Coturnix japonica: one gene and its partner. The main gene of each other region encodes a partner of the protein of the gene in region 2 in a complex. Links are inferred from orthologs where the notes say so. Each region holds a gene or a part of one and is shown on either strand. Other genes may lie near its edges.

Region 1 (4,313 bases), on a different chromosome or scaffold from region 2:
CTCTATAAAGGATCTCTTCCCCTGCCACACACCCAAGGTTCAACTCAAAGTTCCTAATGAAATGCTTGCAATAAGCAAAATGTGAAGCATTTCACAAGACAAGAGGACACTACAGGGCGAGGAACTGATCTTTGGTAGCTATTCCAGGCAGCTCCGTGATCTCCTGGAACACCTGCTCCAATTTGATCTCAACACTCAAATTCAGATGTCTTACTTTCTCATTGCATTTGGCACAATCATTTTGTTCTGGCCCCAGATTAAACTTGCACAGATTTTGGACAGGTTCTCTGGGAAGTTTGAGAAAAACAAGGAAATCATGAATTAACTGAGTTGGAAGTGGTTGGGTTTGGTGGGGTTTTTGCTATTGCTATACATATAACCATCAAAAGTGACCAATGGGATAATTCATAAACCCATGAGATTTCTCCTCTTCATCACTTCTAAAGGCTTTAAAGTCTCATGGATAAAGCTTATATTAACAATTTACAATTCTGCATAATACTGTGCATGCATTTTATCAGAGCTATCCAGATCTCATTATTTTCCCGACTTCTTATTTTCAGCCATTTAATGCTCTGTCTCCATTTCATTGTGAAGCTACAGAGGTTTCTGCAATTTACAAATCTACCCTTTGCTTAAATTACTAGAAAACTGTTTTAAGCCACCACTTTGATTTTGGAAATACGTGCTCTTGAAAAACAAAAGCCACCATTAAAACACACGGCATGAAATGAAGTTTGGGGATGATGTTTTCTTCTTGTTTCAATAAACTTTTGTATTCAGTGTTAGAAGAAAGCTTTGTAGTGAGAGAATGAGGGTTTATTTTATCGTTTGCTGTAGCCACCAACTTTACTTACCTGTGTTAGCCTGAAAATTACAAATAGCTTCCATAAATTACAGCCTTGGCTGCATAAACCACCTTTTCTTCAGACTAAACAGATGAACACTTATAGCCCTACATGCAAGACAGTGCAACTGTGTGCATCACATCTATGTCCTAAGCAGGAGGAGGGCTGCCATGGTAGCAAAGTGGAAACGAGAAGTGCTTGGCAAGCAGCATGCCCTGTTTGTGGCTGAAAAGGTCTACACAATAGCACGGATTGAACAAGTTTCTAAGCAAGTCCAGAACAATGAACCACTTCCAAATAACCGCAAAAGACATTAAAAATAATCAGTTATCAAAATTACAAAATGTCTTGTGATCCCAAGGAGAAAAATAAATGGAAACTTGGAGAGATGACAGACCACTGCTCTAAAAGTCCAATGCTAACACGTGTTTTAAAGCAGAAATTTTAACTGCAGTTTTCACACATAACCCAATAACAGGAAGAAATGTGGAATGTCACACAGCATGATGTGGCACATGGAGGACCTTCAGCTGCTGTGTCCCCAGCACAGTGCCTGGTGACTACATTCAGAATTCCCTGTGAGACCCAGGGCTACCTCCAGAGACCATCTGCAACTAAGACAATTCTGAATTTTGGTGCTCAACATCTACAAAAACTTATCAATGCAGTGTTCTTTCATGGAATCACAGAATGGCCTGGGTTGAAAAGGACCTCAAAGATCATCCAATTCCAACCCCCTGCTGTGTGCAGGGTCACCAACCAGCAGCCCAGGCTGCCCAGAGCCACATCCAGCCTGGCCTTGAATGCCTGCAGGGATGGGGCATCCACAGCCTCCTTGGGCAACCTGTGAACAGTGCGTCACCACCCTCTGGGGGAAAAACTTCCTCCTAAGATCCAACCCGAACCTCCCATGTTCCAGTTTAAAACCATTCCCCCTTGTCCTGTCACTGCCCACTCTCACAAACAACTGTTCCCCTTCTGTTTATAAGCTCCCTTCAAATATTGGAAGGCCACAGTGAGGTCTCCCCGGAGCCTTCTCTTCTCCAAGATAAACAAGCCCAGTTCACTCATAGAAGAGAGCATTTACTTTTTTTCTGTCTCCTCTTTCAAGAAATAAATTCCACCTGTGCTGGTCAGTTTTATTATGGGCACATCTTCATGTCTTTGCTCACGCTTCGGCAACTGGATCTGTGCACTAATCTCAGGGTGTGGTGACCTACAGCATGAGCAAAGCAGGGTGGTACAGGAGCACAGTGTGTACCAGCAGGTGGGCCATGGTCAGCCACAGGGTCTCACAATCACTAGATTCTCACCCGAGCCAGAAATGAGAATACTGCAGTGAGGTTGAAATGTCTGCCCAGAACTGAGAGGCAGCGGTGCAAGCCAACATGGAGAACGGCTGTGCTGGATCAGGTCAGGGCACATCTACCTCCAGACCCACAAGTAGGTGTATGGGGTAGAGATCCTCTATAATCCCAGGGTATGTAGATTCAGCACCGAAAATGCTTACTCCCAGTTGTAACTGAGCATCCCCCTCCTGCCTATGAGGCCGCCTTCCCACAACACCTGTCTCTTCTGCTGCTTTTCTCTCCAACGTGGCAGCAAACCGACCTGCACCTCAAGGGATGGAAAATTACCTCTCCTGAAGAAATCTTCACTGTATGGCTTCAGCAGCTTAGTTCCCCGTTTTTCATAAGCTTGGGAGTAAGAAGGAAAGGGAAGGTGAAACTGGCATTGGTGCCGGGAAAGCTTCCCTTGCTGAGTGCCACTTGTCTGCTGCACAAAGGAGGAAATAGCTGAAGCACGGTTATTTATTGCAGGACTTTGCCCCCAGTTCAGCATATTGTCATTTCCAAGTCGGGTGTTCCAGTAAGCAGGACAGCTGATTCTTGCCTGGGTGAACCTTAAACTTCAGTCTCTCCTCTGTGCATGAATCCTTTCAGTTTGCTGGGAACCACTCCCAATAGGAAACCTTTAAGCATCTGATCTTAGCTGCTCCAGCACCACTGACCATTCTGATTGGGTTCTTATCCCTCATCCCTCCCTTTGGTTTTCTACAGCTGCTTCTGCAAGGTCAGAAAATGCTCATCAGTCACTGTACTGTGGGGACTGTGTTTCACGGCACCTACAGCTGAAGGTGAAAAGAACCTAACTGAAATACCAAGGGTCACACACCTAGTGCTTATTTTCTTGTTTCCTAGGTTTAATTACCCACAATGTGTCATAGGAAAGATAAGAAGAAGCCTCCATGTCTTGGGATTCCTGCTGTAGTTCCACATGGGAATAAGGGGTCAGAATTCATGCACAGTGATAAAGAATTGGGTATAATTTGTGTTACACATTACATATCCACGTTACATATTTGTATGTTAACGTTAGCCTCCACCATTTCTGCTATAAAACTTAAACAAATAAACCTGAGATTATTTACATTTTATAGCACAAATAGAGTATAGGGCCATAGGGTTCAGAGGCTTTTAGGAAGAGGCAGGAAACTACAAAGCAGAGCTTTCCTTAACTGTGCAAGTCATTCTTAAGGATTTAGTCTCAAGACAGTTCTTCAGCAGACTTTTATCATCATGTACGTGCTCTGTGTGAATGGCACAACCTCCTCAAGAAGCACTGAATTTTTAGATGTAGGGCAAACATAAGAAAATCAAAGTAAGCACCTTTGGAGCGCCAAGGTAGATATCTAAAACAAAAGCTTGTTGCGCAATTAGACTGCAGGAATACAAACAGACAGATGAACACGCCATATATATTTCTTCAACAAATGAAGCACACTTGCTGAAATTCCCAATGCAGCTTGTTCTGGGGAAGAGAATCACATTTTAAAATAGAACATTTTCAGTGCTTTTGACCAAGACACAATGGCAGCATTTTCTATTTCAGAGAGAGCCAAAGTATTCCTGTACTAGCAGAAATAGGTAAATATGTATGAGATGGGAACTCGAGGAACTCAAGGCGGCCTGAATGAAAGCACAATTCATGGTGCCATCTGAAATACCTATTAGAAGGGAGACAGATTTCCACAGTTAAGTATAGACATACTCAAGTGGCACATATAAATGCTGAAGGAGCAGCAGCTTGGTGTCCAGGCAGACGTACCCTAGGCTCTTTATAAAGCACATGTGAGAGCTGGGCAGGCAGCTTGTTGCAGGCTTCTCCAGCAGAAGTGCTGGAGCTCAGTTTTGAGTCACAGTACAAGAGGTATCAGGTATCAGGAGTTTGCCAGGGGGGAGCAACTCTGTTTACTGCTAAAGACAGTATGGTAAGGGACCCTGTGAGGCACAGGCACATTTGTAGCTGTAGCTGGGTGTAGCAGAGGCACTGGAGTAATTTGTAGCATGCTCATACCTAATGTAGTGAGAAATGCATTAATTAAAATTGGATAATCCCTAGTGACATTAATTCTGCTGTTGTGCAGAACAATAGGTCTACCCAGACAGACGTGTTAACAAAACT
Region 2 (4,470 bases):
TTGATCAATTCCCCTCGCAGAGCCCCAGTCCCAGGCAGGCAGACACAAACACACAGCGAGCAGCTTCCACTGTGCAAATCAATGGGGATTTGCAAAGTCTCCTCTCTCAGCTCTTTGTTCTGCACTCGCCGAGCGGAGCCGTGCAGCACATCAGGTCGGGGCGGTGGGAACATCCCTCCCAGCAGCCAGATGGGGCCGTGCTGCTCCCTGCAGCGAGGGGACAACCAGCGGGAGCCCCATAAACACGGCCCCGACCCCAAAGGCAACGCAGCCTTGTGTGCAGCACCGCTCCTCCTGCAGCACGGCCAAGTGGGACGAGGCCCAGCTCGGGCAGACAAAAAAGCAGCGGCTGCTCTCAGCTCCTGCAAGAAGCGGAACAAACGGAGCAGCGGTACCGAGCGCTCCGCTCACCATTTATTTCCTCCCCTTCCTGCCCACCCCCATCGCAGTGCGGGGCCTCAGTCGGGCCGTGCCGGGCTCCACGAGCCGAGCACAGCGGGGATGGACGGGCAGCACCGGGCAGCCACCCCGCACACCGGGGTTAAGGACAACGTCCCGCTGCCCCTTATCCGAGCACCGGGACGTGCCGGGCCGCGGTTCCCCGTGTCCTAATGTTGGTACGGAGCCGCTCCCGCTGCCTTCAAAGCAGCACCCAAAGGTGCCAACAAAGGCCCGGTGCTGCGCTCCGCATTCGCCGTATTTTGAGCCGGCCTTATTATTTCCACTGCACCGTGCATTATTACCCGCCATGCAGCGCACTGACATCAGGCTCAGCCCGATCCCTCACGGCCGCTCCTCCTCCTCCTCCTCCTGCTGCTGCTGCCGGGGCTCCGGCCCCAGCCCACGCACAGCTCCGGGATGCGGGAGCCGCGCACCGCACACCGTGCAGCCCCGGGCCGAGCCGCGTTGGCTCCGGGTGCCGGCACAGGGAGCGAGGCCGCTCGGTGCTGCGGTCGCCCCGCTCGGTGCCGTCCCGCTGCGGCCTCCATACGGCCCGGCCCGCATCGCACCGCTGGGCCCTGCGGGACGGAGCTGCCGTACCCGCAGCACAGCGCACCCACCCCGCGGCACAGCCGCCATGGCCGCCCCGCTCCGTCCCCGCTCACGTCCCGCCGCCCGGTGCTCCCCGAGCACGGAGCCCGGCCCGGCCCACACGGCGACAGCCCCGAGTGCGGCCCGCGCTCACACCTCACCGGGCCCCGCCGGAGCGCCCTCCCGGTGCCGGTCCCGGTGCCGCTCCCCCCGTCGCACCGCCTGGGCCCTGCCCCGGCTCCGCCGCCCCCCCCGCCGGTTCCGGTGCCCGGCACCGCGCCCCACAACCTACCGGAGGCGCCGCCCCCGCCGCTCTCGGGCCGCTCGGTTCGTGCCCCGGCCGCGCTCCGGGCTCAGCCCGCTCGCATGGCGCGGCGGCCGGGCCCGCCGGGCTCGGTGTCCGTCCCGGTGCCGCTCGCGCTCCGGCCTCGGCCCCGCCTCACGGCGCCCCCTGCGATCCCGAGCCGATGGAACCGGCCGCCCCCTGCGCCGCCACCAGGTGGGAGCGTCCAACCCGGCCCCAGCGCCGTAATGAGCCTAAAAGAGCCGCAACTAAAACGCGCTGCGGGGTGAGAGCCGTAATGATCCGAGAGGATGCGCACTACAGGGACAGGGGGAAGGGCGGGGTGGGAATGTGGGTAGGGATGGAGATGGGAACAGAGATGGGAACGGAACGGAGACAGGGATGGGAAAAGGGATAGGGATAGAAACGGGAACAGGGCTGGGTTCAGGGATGGGGACAGGGATGGAGCTGGGAATAGGATGTGGATCTGGGTAGGGATGGGGATGGAGGCGCTGGGGACATCCCAGGCCAACCCTTAGAAGGTTTGGGGGTGTCCTGGGACAGTCCAGGAGGGTTTGCAGTGGGCTGCCTTGCACCAGGCCTGAGGGACTCGAGGAACGAGGGCACAGTGACCCTTCAGCAGTAGGGGCTGTCCTGGACCAGCCCTCAAGAGTTTCACCCCAGTCCTGGCCCTTTATGGGGTGCAGTGGGGCCTTAGAGCAGGCTGGGTGTCCTGGCTGGGTGTCCTGGGGTGTGCAGAGCTGTGCGGGCTCCTGGCCCCCTGAGATCCTCCCCAGTGTATAAGAAGGAAGAGGGCCAGGCCCGAGGTCCTGCAGAGCCAGTACAGGCTGTGTCTGTGCCTCCCCCCACTCTCACATCCCAGCCTTCTTCTGCATGAGCAGAGCCACACAATCCACCCTTGTCCCCAGCAGGGCTGAAGTAGGTCAGGGAGGCAGAGCTGAGCCCTCTAGGCCCCCCCAGGGAGGGAACCTCACAGCGGGGGATGCACGAGGCCCCAGCGGCAGCTCCACTGGGTCGGTGCCCACCTGTGTCCTGGTGAGACCTCCCTGCTCCAGCCCAGGGGATGCCAGGCAGTTCCTCAGCCCCTCCCCAGTGCCCTGGGTTTGGGGTCCCCCTGCAGCCCTACAGGCAGAGTCCCCAGGGTGCGGGTTGGGGTGGATGAGCCACGGGGATGGTCCCCAGCACAGGGGGCTGGAGCTGGGGAGCAGTTGCTGGGCTGGGCCAGAGCTGGGTGATGAGCAGCAGGGAGGAGAATGGAGAAAGCAGTTTCTCACCCCTTAATTGCAGTTAATCATTGATGAACTTGCTTACTTCAGGAGTCAAAGTTCTGCAGTGCTGCCAGGGTGCAAGCACGGCATAGCTGCCGGCAGCATCCCGGCTAGGTGCCTGCAGGTAAGGGATCCCAGCACGACCCCCCATGGGCACTGCAGTCTGGGTTTGGGGTGGGGGAATGTCTGTTGGAGGGGGTGAGCTGTGGGGGCTGCCCATAGGCGGTGATGTAAGAGAGGGGGATGTTGTGGGGTGTCACAGCTCTCTCTGGGGCTTCCATGTGGGGCTTGGAGTGATCTGGAGTGACTCAGCCTTCAGCTGTGCTCAGGAGCTGGTCTTGGGGTCCCCAGATACTCCTGAGGTCACCAGAACCTACAGACCAGCTCCATCCCCCCACTGTATCCCCATGGGATGGGACCTGTTCCCTTGGGCAGCTCAGTCCCATCCCATGCTCTTCCAGTGGGCATGGTGGGGGGGCTCGGAACATGCCCCAGTTTCTCTTCTGTGTTCCACAGGCTTTGGGCAGGATGGCATGGCACCCGCTGCTGCTGCTCCCCTTCCTCCTGGCAGCAGGTGAGGACTTTGCTTGGTGCAGGCCTGGGTTGCAGGGAAGCATCAGAGACGCTTCCAGCTCCATCCCATTTCCCTGGGGGCATCCATGACCCCCAAAAGTGGCACTGTGGGCTGGGCAGGGGAGGGTGAGGAGTGGGAGTTGTGGGGTGAGGAGGGGGAGATCCCCTGCACTCAGCTCATGTTCTCCCTGCAGCTTCAGGAAACACAGCTCCCATCTTCAACATGACCCTCGTGTACGTGCCTGAGGACCTGCCGATAGGTGAGGGGCGGCTGCGGGGGGGCTGCTGGGATGGGGGGAGAGCCTGGGGATGACGATGCCTTTCTCCCCTTGTCCCCAGGCGCGATTGCTTTCAGTCTGTCAGCCTATGACTTAGATGGGGACCCAATCACCTACGACATCACTGGGGAAGATTCCTTCTACTTTAAAGTTGATGCACAGACAGGTGTGGTGACACTGAAAAACCTGCTGGACCGTGAGGTGAGAGCAGGGACTGGGAGATGGGGCCATGGGGATGAATGGCAGAGCCCTCGGACTGAGGCTGAGCTCTGCCTGCCCTGACTGAGCTCTACTTTCCCTCCCCAGTCCAAGGCCAAGCTCGACATCTTTGTCATATTGTCTGACGGGATCAATACAGCAGTGAGTAGTGGGAACAGGGATCACAGTGGGGTCTCCGCAGGGTCTCAGTAATGCTGACTGTGATGCTCAGTGGGGCTTTGCCCAGGGGGGCAGTGCTGGCCGGCTCCTTTTCCCTTATCCAAGCTCTCCCCACAGGTCACCAGCCGCCTGACCATCATCGTGGATGACCGTAACGACAACGCACCCATCTTCCAATACCTGCCCTATGAAACCTCTGTCCTCGAGGTACCTTCCTGGGACCTGTTAGCCCCATGGGAGGGTAATTCCCATGGCATGGGTGTGCCTGGTGACAACAGGAAATAATAATGTGTGGTGACAGCATGAAGTGACGCTGCGCCTGGGCGTGTGGTTGTGGTGTTTGGTGATGGTATTCCTGGCAGTCATATCAGTGCTACTGGGGCTGGTGTGCACTGGGACTCTGCCCTCACCTCTCCTTCACACACCAGGGAGTGCCCATGGAGCTGCTCAGCCTGGGACAGGGCAAGGCTAGCTCAGGGTGCAGACAGGGAGTGGGGCTGCAATCCCTGCTCATGCAGAGACCTAAGCCCCAGATGGGGTTGGGAGGGGCTGGGCTCAGCACCTTAACCCTGCTGCCCTGTGCAATGCCACCATTGCCTCTCTGTGCACCCAGAACACAACAGTGGGCAGCATCATC

What was found.
Region 1: CDHR2 (region 2) and MYO7B share a complex: the UniProt entries of both Homo sapiens proteins name them as parts of the IMAC/intermicrovillar adhesion complex. The link is inferred for Coturnix japonica from reciprocal best matches to the Homo sapiens genes CDHR2 and MYO7B.

What each region holds. Positions count from the first base shown.
Region 1 is NC_029524.1:1,796,967-1,801,279, forward strand, and holds the start of MYO7B (unconventional myosin-VIIb), read right to left. Parts: upstream 2,933-4,313; 5' UTR 2,486-2,932; intron 1-2,485. UniProt on the Homo sapiens protein: Myosins are actin-based motor molecules with ATPase activity. Their highly divergent tails are presumed to bind to membranous compartments, which would be moved relative to actin filaments.
Region 2 is NC_029528.1:12,170,498-12,174,967, reverse strand, and holds the start of CDHR2 (cadherin-related family member 2), read left to right. Parts: upstream 1-1,375; 5' UTR 1,376-1,398; coding exon 1,399-1,601; intron 1,602-2,194; exon of another isoform or gene 2,195-2,209; coding exon of another isoform or gene 2,210-2,371; intron 2,372-2,652; coding exon 2,653-2,728; intron 2,729-3,120; coding exon 3,121-3,178; intron 3,179-3,371; coding exon 3,372-3,437; intron 3,438-3,516; coding exon 3,517-3,656; intron 3,657-3,761; coding exon 3,762-3,815; intron 3,816-3,950; coding exon 3,951-4,040; intron 4,041-4,446; coding exon 4,447-4,470. UniProt on the Homo sapiens protein: Intermicrovillar adhesion molecule that forms, via its extracellular domain, calcium-dependent heterophilic complexes with CDHR5 on adjacent microvilli. Thereby, controls the packing of microvilli at the apical membrane of epithelial cells.